Linked DNA regions of Lytechinus pictus. The protein of the gene in region 1 interacts with the protein of each later gene in a pairwise test. Links are inferred from orthologs where the notes say so. Each region holds a gene or a part of one and is shown on either strand. Other genes may lie near its edges. The genes, in order: DNA replication complex GINS protein SLD5-like and DNA replication complex GINS protein PSF2-like.

Region 1 (7,796 bases):
AATCATGCAGTCAACAGCCGAGATTTTACAGCCACTCCCCCCCCCCCCTTTAATTTGTCATCTTTTACAGTGTTATAGAAGCTTTTAATAGCAGATGGTAACTTGTCAAGCTATGGACAATATTAAAGAAAATTGACCTACTTGTCAAGTCTATAGAATCTATCAATCACTGCATGAACTGTCTTCTTCTTGCCTTTGTTTTTACTGAATCGTATCACTGTCCTATTGGGTTGATGGTTAAATACTTGAGGTTTCACAAATTTCTGGTTTATACTGCCGGAAAGAAAGAAAGAAAGTAAAGAAAAAACAAAGTAAGGCAAAACCCTTCATAGCTAATCTGATTTAAAGGACCAAAGCATCAATGATGTTTCATCAACACAGATATCCCTAAAAGAATATTATTGCCAAACATAAAACACAAGCTTCTCCCTTTTTTTCTGAGATATGGATAAGCAATATTGTATTGCTCTCCTTTACAACAAAGCAAATTACACTAATTCTTGAATATTGCATGAGGAGTCAAGCAATATTTTTATGTTGATAAAATCTCCAATACATACATGTATTGTAGCCTGTGAATATGAATAAATATCACTGCTTTATAGAACAATCTTTACATGTATAACTCCAAATTTATGAATCTTTATCTGATAAAGATAATTTATCTGATTTCAATCATAGTAACAATTATGTTGTTTTATTTTACTTCTTTATTCCAATCAACCTAATGGACATAATTTCCCTCTCAATAAAATCTATTTTTGCTGTAGCTACAGTTACATGAAATGACATTATTGAAATATTGTGGCATAAAAATTTCAATGAATCATACCTCATATTGTAAAGGTGCAAAAGCTAGTATTTTAGAGTTTCAGACAGGGAGAAATGGTTATCATAACTTCAGCATCCAAGGAAAGGATTATAAACAGTAAAATCTAACTTCTTTGACTACATGTATGTGTGTGTATACGTTTGAGTTTTTACAGACCTGTATCAATTAGATATAATTAATTACGTATGGAACCAACCTTTAACATCACCATCTGAAAGACGTGATTAGGGCTCAAGCCTCGAACCTCTGCATCAATTTTAACTTCACCATGTAGCTTGGCTTACAGGTGCATGCCATATCAATAATAGTTCCCAATAATTCATGCCTCATTATAATATTGTAGCTTCATATCCCACTTGGAAGTACGCTTAAAGTATTCACAAAATTTGATAAAAACTTACATTTCGTTGTAGCTAAATCCCCCGGTGTACCTGCTACATATCAAGCTTGAGAAGGACCTTCCCTGGATCTGACCTCTAGCAACATTAGGAGCTGGAGCCTGGAGATTTAGCCCAGTCAGCCTGGAGCAAACTTGAGAGAGTTCAGAGCTCCTCCAGTGATCCTCCTGAATAGCAGTGGACTGGTGGAGGGGTGCAGAAGCAATACCCCTCAGGGATGCAAGGGTTACACCCCTAATGGGAGTGGTCAGTGGTGATACCACTCCATGTTGAATGCTCTTCTGATTGATACATCCAGTACGCCATGGAGTAGAAGCTGGTGACAACAGTTTCTGCTGAATTTGTGGAACTGTAGGATAAAATAAAAATATAAGTGTGTGTACACACAAAAAACATATGTTTGAAAAGAATCACATGATTCTAATTCTTTAACCTGGATTGAGTCAATGGCAAAAGTAATTAATTACTATCAACAATGTTTTATAAAATCAATTGCAATGACATACTTTTCAAAACCCACAAAACAAAAAAATATAATTCAAATGGAGGTCTCATTTTTTTCTGCTTACTGCTTGAATGACTGCCAGAAAAGTAGGCCTACTCCTGTCATATTTATGTAGAAAATGCTTTCAAGTATGTTGAAAACTTGCAGCCAAATCAAGACCCTAGTTGGTGGCATGAGTTTTATGACATTTTTCTTATCATTCTTTATTTGAGGTCTAAATTTGACCTCAAAATGTACATGTATAAATATATATAATATCACAAATTAGACTGTCTAATTTGTAAAATATATGCTAGCATCATAATGAAACATGATTTCATGAGGCAACATTATGCAATAATTACTAATTTTCTTTTTCTTTTCAAAAAATTCATTTTTATTGGTTTGCTTTATCTAACTTGGGTTGATTTTGGCTGTTTATTTATAATAAATGTAGAAAACAAATAAAAAATGTGATACTGATTATGATATTTTAAAAAATAAGATTTTGTAATGTCACATGCGTCACATGAGACAAGTCTGACCAGGCCAGATCTGACCATGGACCTTCTGAGACTAGGATAAATGTAGAGATCAATTATGTTCTTGATGCAAGTTCCAGCTGAAATTAAGGGAATTGGATCAATTGATTTAATAATTAGATATTGGAAAGTAAATCTGGGCAGATATTGAACAAAATTATAAAATAATTATTTTCCAATTTCTGCTCAGATTTACAGTAGGGGTGCTGGGATCGTCCCAGTTTACAGGAACTGTCTCAGTTTTCAAAGATTTCTCCACACAAGAAATCTAGGAAAGTTCATTCACCTGTCAAGTGCCAAAATCAATCAAGTGCGCTAGTCAATGTAAACATATCAGGTTTCATAACAAGATTATTGGAAGACAACAAGTCGTGAAAAATAGATGGTAAACTGGGGGGAATTGAGGTCACTGAATCTATTTTTAGCACTCTTAATCTCCGTAATTGCCGTCTATGTCCTGAAGGGTTAAGTGAAAATAAAAAACTGTCCCCATAAACAAGGACAATCTCAATTTATCAAGACATGATTTGTCTTGGTTTATGAGGATATCCTTGTTTTCTGGGACTGGGACAATCCCAATTTTTGGACCAGCGGCGCCTCTAGTGCTGTCTGTGTACGAGGAGAAATAAGAACATTTTTAAAATGTTTAAAAACTCCTCGAAATAGATGGCTGCAGCTGTATAAGCCAGAACAGGCAAGAATAAGGACTTAGCATGATCACCACGACACCCGCTGTAATAAGAAAATGCACACGCTGGAAATGGTACATGCATCAGTAGAGGCGCACGGCCAATATGGGAGACTTTTCTTTCTTTTGCAAAGCAAGTCTCCAATATGGAAGATTGTCTCCCATATTGGAGACTTGCTTTGCAAAAGAACAAAAGAAACGGAAAGACTTCCTTATGTCCCCTCCACTAATTAAAAAAAATACTTCTCCAAAACCCCCTTCTTTCGTTCTCTTTTTCTTCTTTTTTTTTTTCTTCTTACTTCCGGTTGGAACTTGGATTCGAACCTCTCGCTGCAGAACGAGCATCTCCAGTCTATCGCCTTACTCACTGAGCTAGCAGGAATTGTTGAAAGCCATGGGTTTCATAGTGGTTATCAACCGATATTACGACTAGTCTACTCTCCAAGAGTATTGGGTATTTATTTTTCTGACTAAATAAACCAATGCCATTGGGAATTACACACTCAAAATTCTGACGGAATAAAGCCATACTTTGGTATGTATCCAACTTTTCCTTCTTAAATCTCTTAGATATATGTTAGATAATTCTTGATAAACCTTCTCCATATTTCTTTTTTTTTTTCAATTTTAGTGGAGGGGACATATGGAAGTCTTGCCAAAGAAACAACGCCAACAAAAGCATAATTTTTTCCACCCAAAATTTTGTCTCACTGAGTCTGAGGCCAGAAGCCCATTTGTTTTGAAATTTTGTGTGTGGATGACAACAAAAATCCTTCTCAAAACAAAGTAGACTGTGAGTGTGAATTCTTTAAGTAAGCAGTGAAAAAGGGGTTAATTTTTCATGAGGAATCTGCTTATCACATTTTTATTTGCCGCCAAGGTCAAGGACAATGTAATCCTTTTGCAGCAAAGTTTCAGTTTGGGCTTTGCCTTTGGCAAAGGCCAAGCCAAAATAAATGTAAATTAATTGGTCTCTCAAATTGGAGACTGTCTCTGAAATAGGATACCCATTCTTTACAAAACTAAAGTCTCTGAACTGATATAGAGTATAGGAGATAATCTCTCTCAGACTCATGGGAGACAGTCTCCCAAAGGCCAAAGGCAAAGTCACACATTGGCCGTGCGCCTCTAATGTGCATTCAGACATTACTATCATGGGCACGTGCGATTCTTACACACACAAGTCAAGTACAAAAATCACAATTCCGTGTTGCAATAATTTAAATAGCACAAGAATTAAAATGCCGAAAACAGTCGCTGTGCGCTGAACAGTACAACACAGTCACAGACCCTTAATCAACCAATATATTCAAACTTCCACCATATTCAACAAGTTAAAAAATATCAACTCAACTATAGATCAAATCGAAAAACGCTGTCAAAAATAAAATATTAGCAAAATGTGAAGATTTAATTTCATTTTACCTAAACTTTTACCAAAAATTCTTCTCATGGAAGCTGCCATCTTTTTAGACTGCGAGCTGCCTAGGCGCCCTCTGACGGTCACTTGCACTTTGGGCAAAGATTCGCGCGAAAGTTGAGACAACGCAACACAAACGAAACCAAGACCAAGAAGTCAAATAAAACTACCAAAATGTCTGAAGAAATTGACGAAAGCTTAGAAAATGAATTCTCTAGTGATGAAGAGGAGGTAGAGATGACTGCTGCAGATGTTCTTCAAAAGTTGGAGGAGGTACCGTACATTTAACTAATTGTTTTTTGTTTTTTTCAAGTTGTGAATTGTGTGGCGGCCGCGGTCTGGTCTGTCTGTCTGCCAAGCTGGAGTAGAGTCAGCCAACAATAAGCTAGCCAACAGCAAGCCAGCCAACAGTTCCAGCCAACAATATTAGCTATCTAAGATAAATCAGATACAGGATTTTGCGTGCGCAGAATAGCACGCATTCTAGGACAAATCAAACAAACGGTGGGGTTACCCTTCTTTCAATTTGTTTAAACAAACAAGGGGCTAGTTCCCATGTCTTAGTAGCACTCCTGTTCAGGGGCGGCGGAGCGAAGTTGGAAGTGGGGGGCACAGAAGAAAAGGGACATTTCCTACCTTGAAAATGGCATTGTTTAATGCAAGAAACGAAGCGAGCGAGCCGGAAAAAGCCAAACAAAAGCCCCCCCCAAAAAAAAAAAATAAAAAATAATAATGAAAAGAAGAAGAAAAAAAAGAAGAAAAAAACCACGATTTTCTGGTTATTAGGTAGCCCGCACCCCTATATAATATAGGATGTTTCTTTGTATATTGAAGAGTAAATTAGAATGAATGTCTTCCTGATAAGGGCCAATTGGAAGATTGCTCCTGAAATATATTTTGGGTGTGTGGAGGGGGGTTTCCCTTCTTTCAATTTGTAAAGAAAAACAACGGGCTAGTGCTTTAGTTTTAGTAGCCCACACCCCTATATACTCTATGTTTTTTCGTATATTGAGGAGTAAATTTCAACTAAAAGTCCTCTTTATAAAATACAATTGGAAGATTGCTCCTGAAATATATTTTGGGTGTGTGTAGGGGGGTTTCCCTTCTTTCAATTTGTAAAGAAAAACAACGGGCTAGTGCTTTAGTTTTAGTAGCCCACACCCCTATATACTCTATGTTTTTCGTATATTGAGGAGTAAATTTCAACTAAAAGTCCTCTTTATAAAATACAATTGGAAGATTGCTCCTAAAATATATTTTGGGTGTGTGTAGGGGGGTTTTCCTCTTTTTCAATTTGTAAAGAAAAACAACGGGCTAGTGCTTTAGTTTTAGAACCCCACACCCCTATATACTCTATGTTTTTTCGTATATTGAGGAGTACATTTCAACTAAAAGTCCTCTTTATAAAATACAATTGGAAGATTGCTCCTGAAATATATTTTGGGTGTGTGTAGGGGGGTTTCCCTTCTTTCAATTTGTAAAGAAAAACAAATGGCTAGTGCTTTAGTTTTAGTAGCCCACACCCCTATATACTTTATGTTTTTTTCGTATATTGAGGAGTAAATTTCAACTAAAAGTCCTCTTTATAAAATACAATTGGAAGATTGCTCCTGAAATATATTTTGGGTGTGTGGAGGGGGGTTTCCCTTCTTTCAATTTGTAAAGAAAAACAACGGACTAGTGCTTTAGTTTTAGTAGCCCACACCCCTATATACTCTATGTTTTTTCGTATATTGAGGAGTACATTTCAACTAAAAGTCCTCTTTATAAAATACAATTGGAAGATTGCTCCTGAAATATATTTTGGGTGTGTGCTGGGGGGTTTCCTTTCTTTCAGTTTGTAAAGAAAAACAACGGGCTAGTGCTTTAGTTTTAGTAGCCCACACCCCTATATACTCTATGTTTTTTCGTATATTGAGGAGTAAATTTCAACTAAAAGTCCTCTTTATAAAATACAATTGGAAGATTGCTCCTGAAATATATTTTGGGTGTGTGCTGGGGGGTTTTCCTCTTTTTCAATTTGTAAAGAAAAACAACGGGCTAGTGCTTTAGTTTTAGTAGCCCACACCCCTATATACTCTATGTTTTTTCGTATATTGAGGAGTAAATTTCAACAAAAAGTCCTCTTTATAAAATACAATTGGAAGATTGCTCCTGAAATATATTTTGGGTGTGTGTAGGGGGGTTTCCCTTCTTTCAATTTGTAAAGAAAAACAAATGGCTAGTGCTTTAGTTTTAGTAGCCCACACCCCTATATACTCTATGTTTTTTCGTATATTGAGGAGTAAATTTCAACTAAAAGTCCTCTTTATAAAATACAATTGGAAGATTGCTCCTGAAATATATTTTGGGTGTGTGGAGGGGGGTTTCCCTTCTTTCAATTTTTAAAGAAAAACAACGGGCTAGTGCTTTAGTTTTAGTAGCCCACACCCCTATATACTCTATGTTTTTTCGTATATTGAGGAGTAAATTTCAACTAAAAGTCCTCTTTATAAAATACAATTGGAAGATTGCTCCTGATATATATTTTGGGTGTGTGCTGGGGGGTTTTCCTCTTTTTCAATTTGTAAAGAAAAACAACGGGCTAGTGCTTTAGTTTTAGTAGCCCACACCCCTATATACTCTATGTTTTTTCGTATATTGAGGAGTAAATTTCAACTAAAAGTCCTCTTTATAAAATACAATTGGAAGATTGCTCCTGAAATATATTTTGGGTGTGTGCTGGGGGGTTTTCCTCTTTTTCAATTTGTAAAGAAAAACAACGGGCTAGTGCTTTAGTTTTAGTAGCCCACACCCCTATATACTCTATGTTTTTTCGTATATTGAGGAGTAAATTTCAACAAAAAGTCCTCTTTATAAAATACAATTGGAAGATTGCTCCTGAAATATATTTTGGGTGTGTGTAGGGGGGTTTCCCTTCTTTCAATTTGTAAAGAAAAACAAATGGCTAGTGCTTTAGTTTTAGTAGCCCACACCCCTATATACTCTATGTTTTTTCTTATATTGAGGAGTACATTTCAACTAAAAGTCCTCTTTATAAAATACAATTGGAAGATTGCTCCTGAAATATATTTTGGGTGTGTGTAGGGGGGTTTCCCTTCTTTCAATTTGTAAAGAAAAACAAATGGCTAGTGCTTTAGTTTTAGTAGCCCACACCCCTATATACTCTATGTTTTTTCGTATATTGAGGAGTAAATTTCAACTAAAAGTCCTCTTTATAAAATACAATTGGAAGATTGCTCCTGAAATATATTTTGGGTGTGTGGAGGGGGGTTTCCCTTCTTTCAATTTTTAAAGAAAAACAACGGGCTAGTGCTTTAGTTTTAGTAGCCCACACCCCTATATACTCTGTTTTTTCGTATATTGAGGAGTAAATTTCAACTAAAAGTCCTCTTTATAAAATACAATTGGAAGATTGCTCCTGATATATAT
Region 2 (7,274 bases), on another chromosome or scaffold:
TGGAGTAGCCTTTTTAGACAAATTTAATCATAATATTCAAATTTTGTGGAAATCTAATGCTCCTGAGAGCATTTTAAACAGTCTTGGTAATATACAATTATCTGAAGCATTGTGAATGTGGTATTCATTTATAGGGAGGAAGCTGCTGTCGAATTTTATGGTAACAAATTTTCAGACTTGAGTGGTTGTCAACTTCTGTGGTATAACAAATTCATTCGTTCAAAAACTAAACAGTATCTTAATTATCCAATGTGGCATGAGAGAAATGTCTTAATGATGTCAGACTTATTTAATCCCCCTCTTTTAGGCCACAAAATCTTTGAAGAGCTTGTGTTAGATTTTGGAATCCCCCAAACAGACAGAAGGAAATGTAATTTTTTAATTGAGTGCATCCCGGAAGAATGGTTGATGAGTTTTGACCCTGATATTATAGGTGTTCATGAAACAATTGTACATAAATTGTTGAGTTATAAAAAAGTCCCTAGAAATTCATACATTTTATTTAGGGGATCACACACACCTGTCAAAAGATACACTTATTGGGATGAACATTTACCAATACCAGTATCTATCGATTGGGAAAAGGTACATTATACAATTTTTTTTGTACCATTGATACTAAATTAAGATCATTCTATTTTAAGATTTTTCATAAAGCCATAGCATTAAATGATTTTTTATATAAGATTAAATCTAAGGACTCACCCAATTGTGTTTTCTGTGATAAAAGTGAGGTAACAATAGTCCACCTGTTTTGCGAATGTGAAAGGGTAATTCCTATTTGGCAATCCCTTTTAACAAAAATTTCCCAAAATAATGTTCAAATAAATGGTTCTAATTTTGAAAAAATGTTTGGACTCCCAGCTGATAAGTTCATTTCATACCTTTTCTTACTTTTGAAGTATTATATTCATACATGTACATTTAAGAATAATCCTCCAAGTTATGCTCTTTTTAAAAATTTTTTTAAAAAACAACAGGACTTGGAATATTTGATAGCTAAGAAAAAAAATAAGTTGCCCGCTCACTTTAAGAAGTGGCGATTCACCTTATAATTTGGTTTTCAAAAATGTCAACAGGTTACATGATAACTAATAATGTATATTTTGTATAACAGGCTTAGTGCCCCATTTTTTAAAAGTAATACTGCACTGTATTGGTTATATGGTTGTAGACATCAGTTCCCATTTTTTTAATGCAACTTGTATCTCAGTTTCCTTGATATACTTGTTCGTTTAAATACCTCCATATTTATGTCGTCTTGGATAACTAGTTGTGTTTTTTAATCCTATCAATAGTTGTTGGGAAACCATTTTATAATCATAGCTTGTATATTTTGTTTTGTCTACTTTATTTACCAAATCACCTATCTTTGTTTAGATAACACTGATATTAAGTTATCACTTTGCCACATTCCTTTTTTGGGGGGTGGGGGAGGATAAGTGGGTAGGTTTTTTTTTTTATTATTATGGTTATTTTGTCTTTTTTGTATAATTAACTTGTGTTTATGTGATTTGCAATCACCTAATAATCATTTGTAAATTTTGTGATTTATTTCAATTTATAATAAGAACAGAAAAAAAAAAGGAAAAAAATTTGAAATGTTATGTAACTATTTGTTCATGAAATCAGAATAAAAACAGTATTTTAAAAAATGTCAGTGTATACAATTAAAGTAACCAATACTATAATAGCCATAAATGTATGTATGTGTATTTATGCCCCCGCCCATTCTCTACGTGTGAGGGTGGGTGTGTGTGTATGTCAGTGTATACAACAAGTAACCAATAAACATAAATGTATGTATGTGTATGTATATAGCAAGAGAAAAGATATTTCGTCGACTCCGATTAGGTCATATAGGACTAAATGAAGATCTCTGGCGAATGAAAATACACCCAACGGGACAGTGCAATTCATGTCCGGAGAAAGAAACAATTGAACACTACATTGTAAAATGCCCTAAGTATATAATTGAAAGGTCGATGCTTCTTGTCGAGGCAGACATCGCCGATCCCGAGGAAATCCTTAGGCTCCTGAATTCTTGGGACCCAGGTGTCCAAAATGCACTGTTTTTTTTTTTTTTTTTCGTGAACGAAAGAGAGAAATATATCTATTTGATTAGTATGTAATTATTTATTTGTTCATATAGGTACATATGTGTGTATTTGTGTATATATATATGTCATTTATATGAGTATGATGACCACATGAGACGATGGTTATTGTTCTGTTTGTTTTAGAATAAGATGTATCTCTCTTCCCTCTGGGTTATATTCCTTGTATTCAGTAGAGCTCATTATCATTTTGAAAAAAAAAGAAAAAGAGAAAAAAAAAGAAGAGAAAAGAGAAAAAACTGAGAAAGACAAAGGAAATAATAAAGAGAAAATAAAAGGGAAAAGAAAGGAAAAGGAAAGGAAGGAGGAAAAAAGAAAAGAAAAAAAAAGAAGAAAATGGAAGGAAGAGGAGAAGAAATGAAAGGAAAAAGAATAAAGATGAAGAAATTGAAAAAAAAATGTATATGCATGTGTGTGTATATACATATATTTTTTTTTTTTACTAACTCGATCATATCCATCTAACTTACAACCTTGATTTAACAATGCACCATTTCATTTATTAAAGCCCTCATTTTGGATGCCCCCATAAATTTCGAATAATCCGAACCTCCCCATATCAAATTTTATATTTTCTCTTTACAAAACAAAACAGACATACATGTATTTGATTGGTAATTATATGCGAGATCATTTCACGGGAAAAGACTCTTTAACAGTTTATTGCTCTATTTATTTTCCGAGTTTCAAGACTATAGAGTATCCCAAAGGGAGCCCCCCGGGGGGGGCACTCGACCAAAAAAGTGGTAGGGGTGTGCCGCGGGCGAGACAAAAAACGGGGGCCTTGGAGCGGGCTTATTGTAAAAAGGAGGGTCCTCGGAACGGGCTCGGAACTACAAATGTTTGTGAAAACGGGGGTCCTTGGAACGGGTCGCCTGCGTGCGAGTGCGTATGCATCCCTATGGAACGTGCATGCAGCTATAGCCCGGCGGCACGACTGACGGGCGCGCTAGCGCAGAGGCGATGGTCGGGCAGCGAGCTGCGGCCGCTTTTCACCAAAATTGCGACCGGAACGGCGTAACGGAAAATATGCGATGCCCTGGAGCGGATTTTTTTCTTCTTTTTTCTCGAAAAGAAGAAAATGCTATGCTTTGGAGCGGCTTTCTTTGTTCTTTTTCTCAATAAGACAAAAATGCTATGCCTCGGAACGGAAATTTGAGTGTAAAAATGGGGGTCCCCTCCGCGGCACATACCCACTATGCATTATATACTGAGTGCCCCCCCCGGGGGGAGCCCCCTGTCTACACCGGAGAGACAGGACGATGTCTGGACGGTGTCGCTAGAAGGGACGGGATCATGCGGTAACCTGTAAGATACGATAGCCTTTATAATAATAAAAATTATTATTAAAAAACAAAAAACAAAAACAAACAAAGAAAGGAGAGGAACGATTATAAAGGACACGTCAAAGAAAAGAAAGAAAATAATAGTTGACCAAACGAGTTGGCGGTAATAGTCAAATATGACTGGTCGCCATTAATTTCCAACAAACAACAACATATAAATACCCGTTTGCCTTTTTATTTTTTACAATAGCATATTGCGAGCGGGCGAAGCGTGCGAGAAAAAAAAATCAACATTTGCTTGATTTGATTTCACCACAGTGACAATCAAGATAATGATAATGCATAATAGGTTATGGAAAAAATGTAATAATTTTAATTTTCTATCATGAAACCTTGAAGGGTTAACATAAGTTTTGTTATGATATGGAGACAAGAAAAAGCGAAAATGTTTGCTCTTTGTTATTCTCCCCTCCTCTCATTTTCTTCACTTTTCTTCCCCGATTCCTTAAATCCTCTCCTTTAACTTTATGTTATTCTTATCCCGTTTCTCTTCTCTTTCCCCTTTTTTCTCCTTTTTTGAAATCTGTGATGGATTGTCCTCAAACCTTTACCAATTTTTTTTTTTTTTTTTCTGATATTCGATCACTAAAACTTTTCGTCGGGGTGAAATTCCCCCGGAAATTCCCCTCGCCTTTTAATGGGATTTCGCTGAGGTAGTAACTCGGCCAAAATTTTGCAGCTTTAGCCAATTAGCCGCCGAGATGCATGAGAGAGATCGAGAGAATGAAGATTGAAGAAACAGCGAAATAATAATACACCAGCGGGAAATTAGATTGAGCGAATTTGGACAAGTTGTATCCATTCTATTTATGGGTTTGGGAGATATTTTAACATGGTATGTATTATGCATTGGTTGGGAATGATCATACGATTAATGCTTTTCTCGTTTTTGTTTTAAATCTAAGATCAATCAAAAGTTCTGACTCTGAGGTTCATAAAGACATGACAAGACAAGATCAAAGCTTTGGGTGAACTACTTACCCTGGTCCCATTCGTTGTAATTCGCGTAGGCCTAACAAGTTAGTAGTAGACAGCTGGCGCTGGCACAAGTGGCAGCTGCAGCCCACTCTAGGCGACACCCCAATACTTACCCGTGCTAATAAAGTGGGACTCCGCTCACGCGCGTTTGGGCCTCCCTAGCTTAGAACTAAGCAATATTATCTAGAAATCGTTACATTGTAGTAATTAAATATGTTCTATTAAATAAATTGATAATGTTTAATCGGTACTCACCGGTTCTTTTGTTGCATTTTCAGACCATTTCTCACAATTCTTCGTAAATATTTGCGGCAAATTTTGTCGCCATAGACAGCTTAGCATCCATCTTTATTGATAAATGGAGCGCCCTTTACGATTGTTGTTAATGCCGCGGAGAAATCGTTAGGCATTTTGGCCTGTGTTCAAGGCGTTCTTTCTGTTTTATTTTTAAATAGATTGTGCATTTGTTGAATAGCGCCGTCTACGTCAGGTATGAGATCGAGTGTATAAATACACTCTTCCAAAATAATTATGATTCCGACCTGGCGCTGTTTAACTTCAATCTCTTTCACCTAAATTAGCGATGAATGCTAGCATTATAAAATATATATTATTAACGTCTGACGAAAAGAATAACCAACCGATCAGCTGACGAGAACGCGAATCACGTGATCTTCATATCAGCTTCGATCGCGAGTCAGAAGAGAAGAGCAGTTGCCCAGAAAATCAGGAAAAAGCCGTGAAAATGTAAGTTCCCCTTCATTTCTTTCAATTTTTTTTATTGCTAACAATGTATTCAATTAGTGAGATCGAAATGTAATGATTAGACAGTACGATAGCTTGTAGTTTTGATAAAATACAAAAATAATCATCTTCACAAAGATTTCTGACACAAAATACTACTGATGTCGCCTATGAGGTCCATACATGTAATGTTGGACCTCATTGGTACTAGGAGTGCTGCAGCCGTCTGTTTCGAGGAGTTTTTTAAACATTTATATATTTGTTTAAATTCTCCTCGTACACAGATGGCTCGCGATTGTGCAGCCGCCATTAGGGGGTAAATAATGCAAAATCCCCCTGACGGGGCCGGGCTCATCGATTTTTGTCTTTATTTCACAAAAATAATATAGGCCTAGGCAGGCTAGCCTAAAAAGAACTGGACCAAAAAAAAAAGATTATAATTTTATATTAATATTATTAGATCTATTCTGTTTTGGCTTGAAATGCACCAAAAGTGGGAAAAAATAATTTAAAAAAGACAAAACAGTGACTTAATTTGGCTGGGGATCGAAGCAGCAGCTGCGTGTATTTAATATTGGGTCTCCCAGATCCGGATAAATCCCTTATCCGGATTGGTGCTGGAAAATGCATTTTCTCCCTTCGCTGATGGTGGCGTATGATGTGCAAAGAAGTTCATGCCTACGGCTAGGCACTAAGTGCAATTCGCCAGATTTAAAGTGCTTCTATGCTAGTATATAGGGATTATGGCATAAGGCATTATTTTAACTCTGAAAGTCTCTTTTTGTATGTTTTGACATGGAGATCAACAAGAAAATGGTCAAACTTGTGTATTTTGTAAATGAAAAGAGCAACATCTTGTTTGGGTTTTGTTCTTAGCTGGAGGATGTGTCTGAAGTTGATGTCTTTCTAAGGACTTTTCTTTGTATCCCCCCCCCCCCATCGGCTTCATAAAAAGGTTGAATAATTCTTACGAAGAAGGGTTCAACCAAAGACACTGTTCTAAGGCTATTCTAACTTTAAAAGTAAGAGCTGCCACTTAAAAATTTGAATGTATTGAAATGTATAATCATATTTTTTCTTGTACTTATGCCCATATGTAACAACTGATTTGACTGAATTAAGTTCAATATGTATTTTTTTTCTCTCACTTGTTTCAGGACTGATTTTCAACTAACTAGAGGCCGCAGAACAGGAAACTTGTCACTTTGCCTTCACAAACTTTCAAGGCCTTTACATGTACTTTCATGAACTAAGGGACAGACTCACCTCATTTGATGATACTGATAAATTAAGAAATTAACCTGTCAGTTTCGGATCTAAAAAAACAAACCTTGAATTTGAATTTTAAAAGGGGGAAGGGAAAGTTTAAAGGTGTCATGTGCACTTTTACACAAGCACAGATAAAGGATTAAAGTGGGACTTATAGTTCTAGATTGGCTGATGTGCTCCTACTTTCCTAAAGAACATTGGAATATCAAGACTTGAGACTGCACTCTGATGCATATTCCTTGAAGCAAGACAACTCAGATGGTGCTGATTTGAAGAGAAATATTGGCTGTGTACACTCAATCAGAGAGGTCATACTCATAAGACCTTTCATCCAAACAATTGAACAGTGTGGGTATGGATCCGTCTGAAGTGGAGTTCCTGGCAGAGAAGCAGGAGGTCACGATCGTTCCCAACTTCTCCCACGATGAAGTCTTCTTGATAGCGGGCAACGTTGGACCGTTCAATCCTAGTTTACCCATGAAGGTCCCCCTCTGGATGGCTGTCAATCTGAAACAGAGACAGAAGTGCCGGATCCAACCACCAGATTGGATGAATGTCGGTAAGTTATTCATGGTTGGTGATAGGAGGATGGAATGGTTGGGAGAGGGACAGTGAAATGAATTGAATGGAATATGTGTTTGTGCAGGGAGGGGGGGGGGGTGAGGTGGTTTATGTAGCTAGTTATTACAATTATATTTATCAGCTAATATCATTTTTTTCCAAATCAGAACTGAATAAGAACTAAGATCTAGATGACTGGATTGTTTCATTATCTATTGGCTCAACATGATCAGATCTATGCAATTTTAACAATAAAGTC

The links.
Region 2: the proteins of DNA replication complex GINS protein SLD5-like (region 1) and DNA replication complex GINS protein PSF2-like interact in a two-hybrid assay, tested with the Drosophila melanogaster proteins (2 studies listed by BioGRID). The link is inferred for Lytechinus pictus from reciprocal best matches to the Drosophila melanogaster genes Sld5 and Psf2.

Annotation. Positions count from the first base shown.
Region 1 is NC_087256.1:9,160,237-9,168,032, reverse strand, and holds the start of DNA replication complex GINS protein SLD5-like, read left to right. Parts: upstream 1-4,538; coding exon 4,539-4,637; exon of another isoform or gene 4,638-4,723; intron 4,724-7,796. Other genes in the region: large ribosomal subunit protein bL35m-like, read right to left, coding at 142-273, 1,234-1,579, 4,370-4,409.
Region 2 is NC_087246.1:48,469,711-48,476,984, reverse strand, and holds the start of DNA replication complex GINS protein PSF2-like, read left to right. Parts: upstream 1-4,043; 5' UTR 4,044-4,298; intron 4,299-5,022; exon of another isoform or gene 5,023-5,188; intron 5,189-6,342; 5' UTR 6,343-6,808; coding exon 6,809-7,013; intron 7,014-7,274. UniProt on the Drosophila melanogaster protein: The GINS complex plays an essential role in the initiation of DNA replication.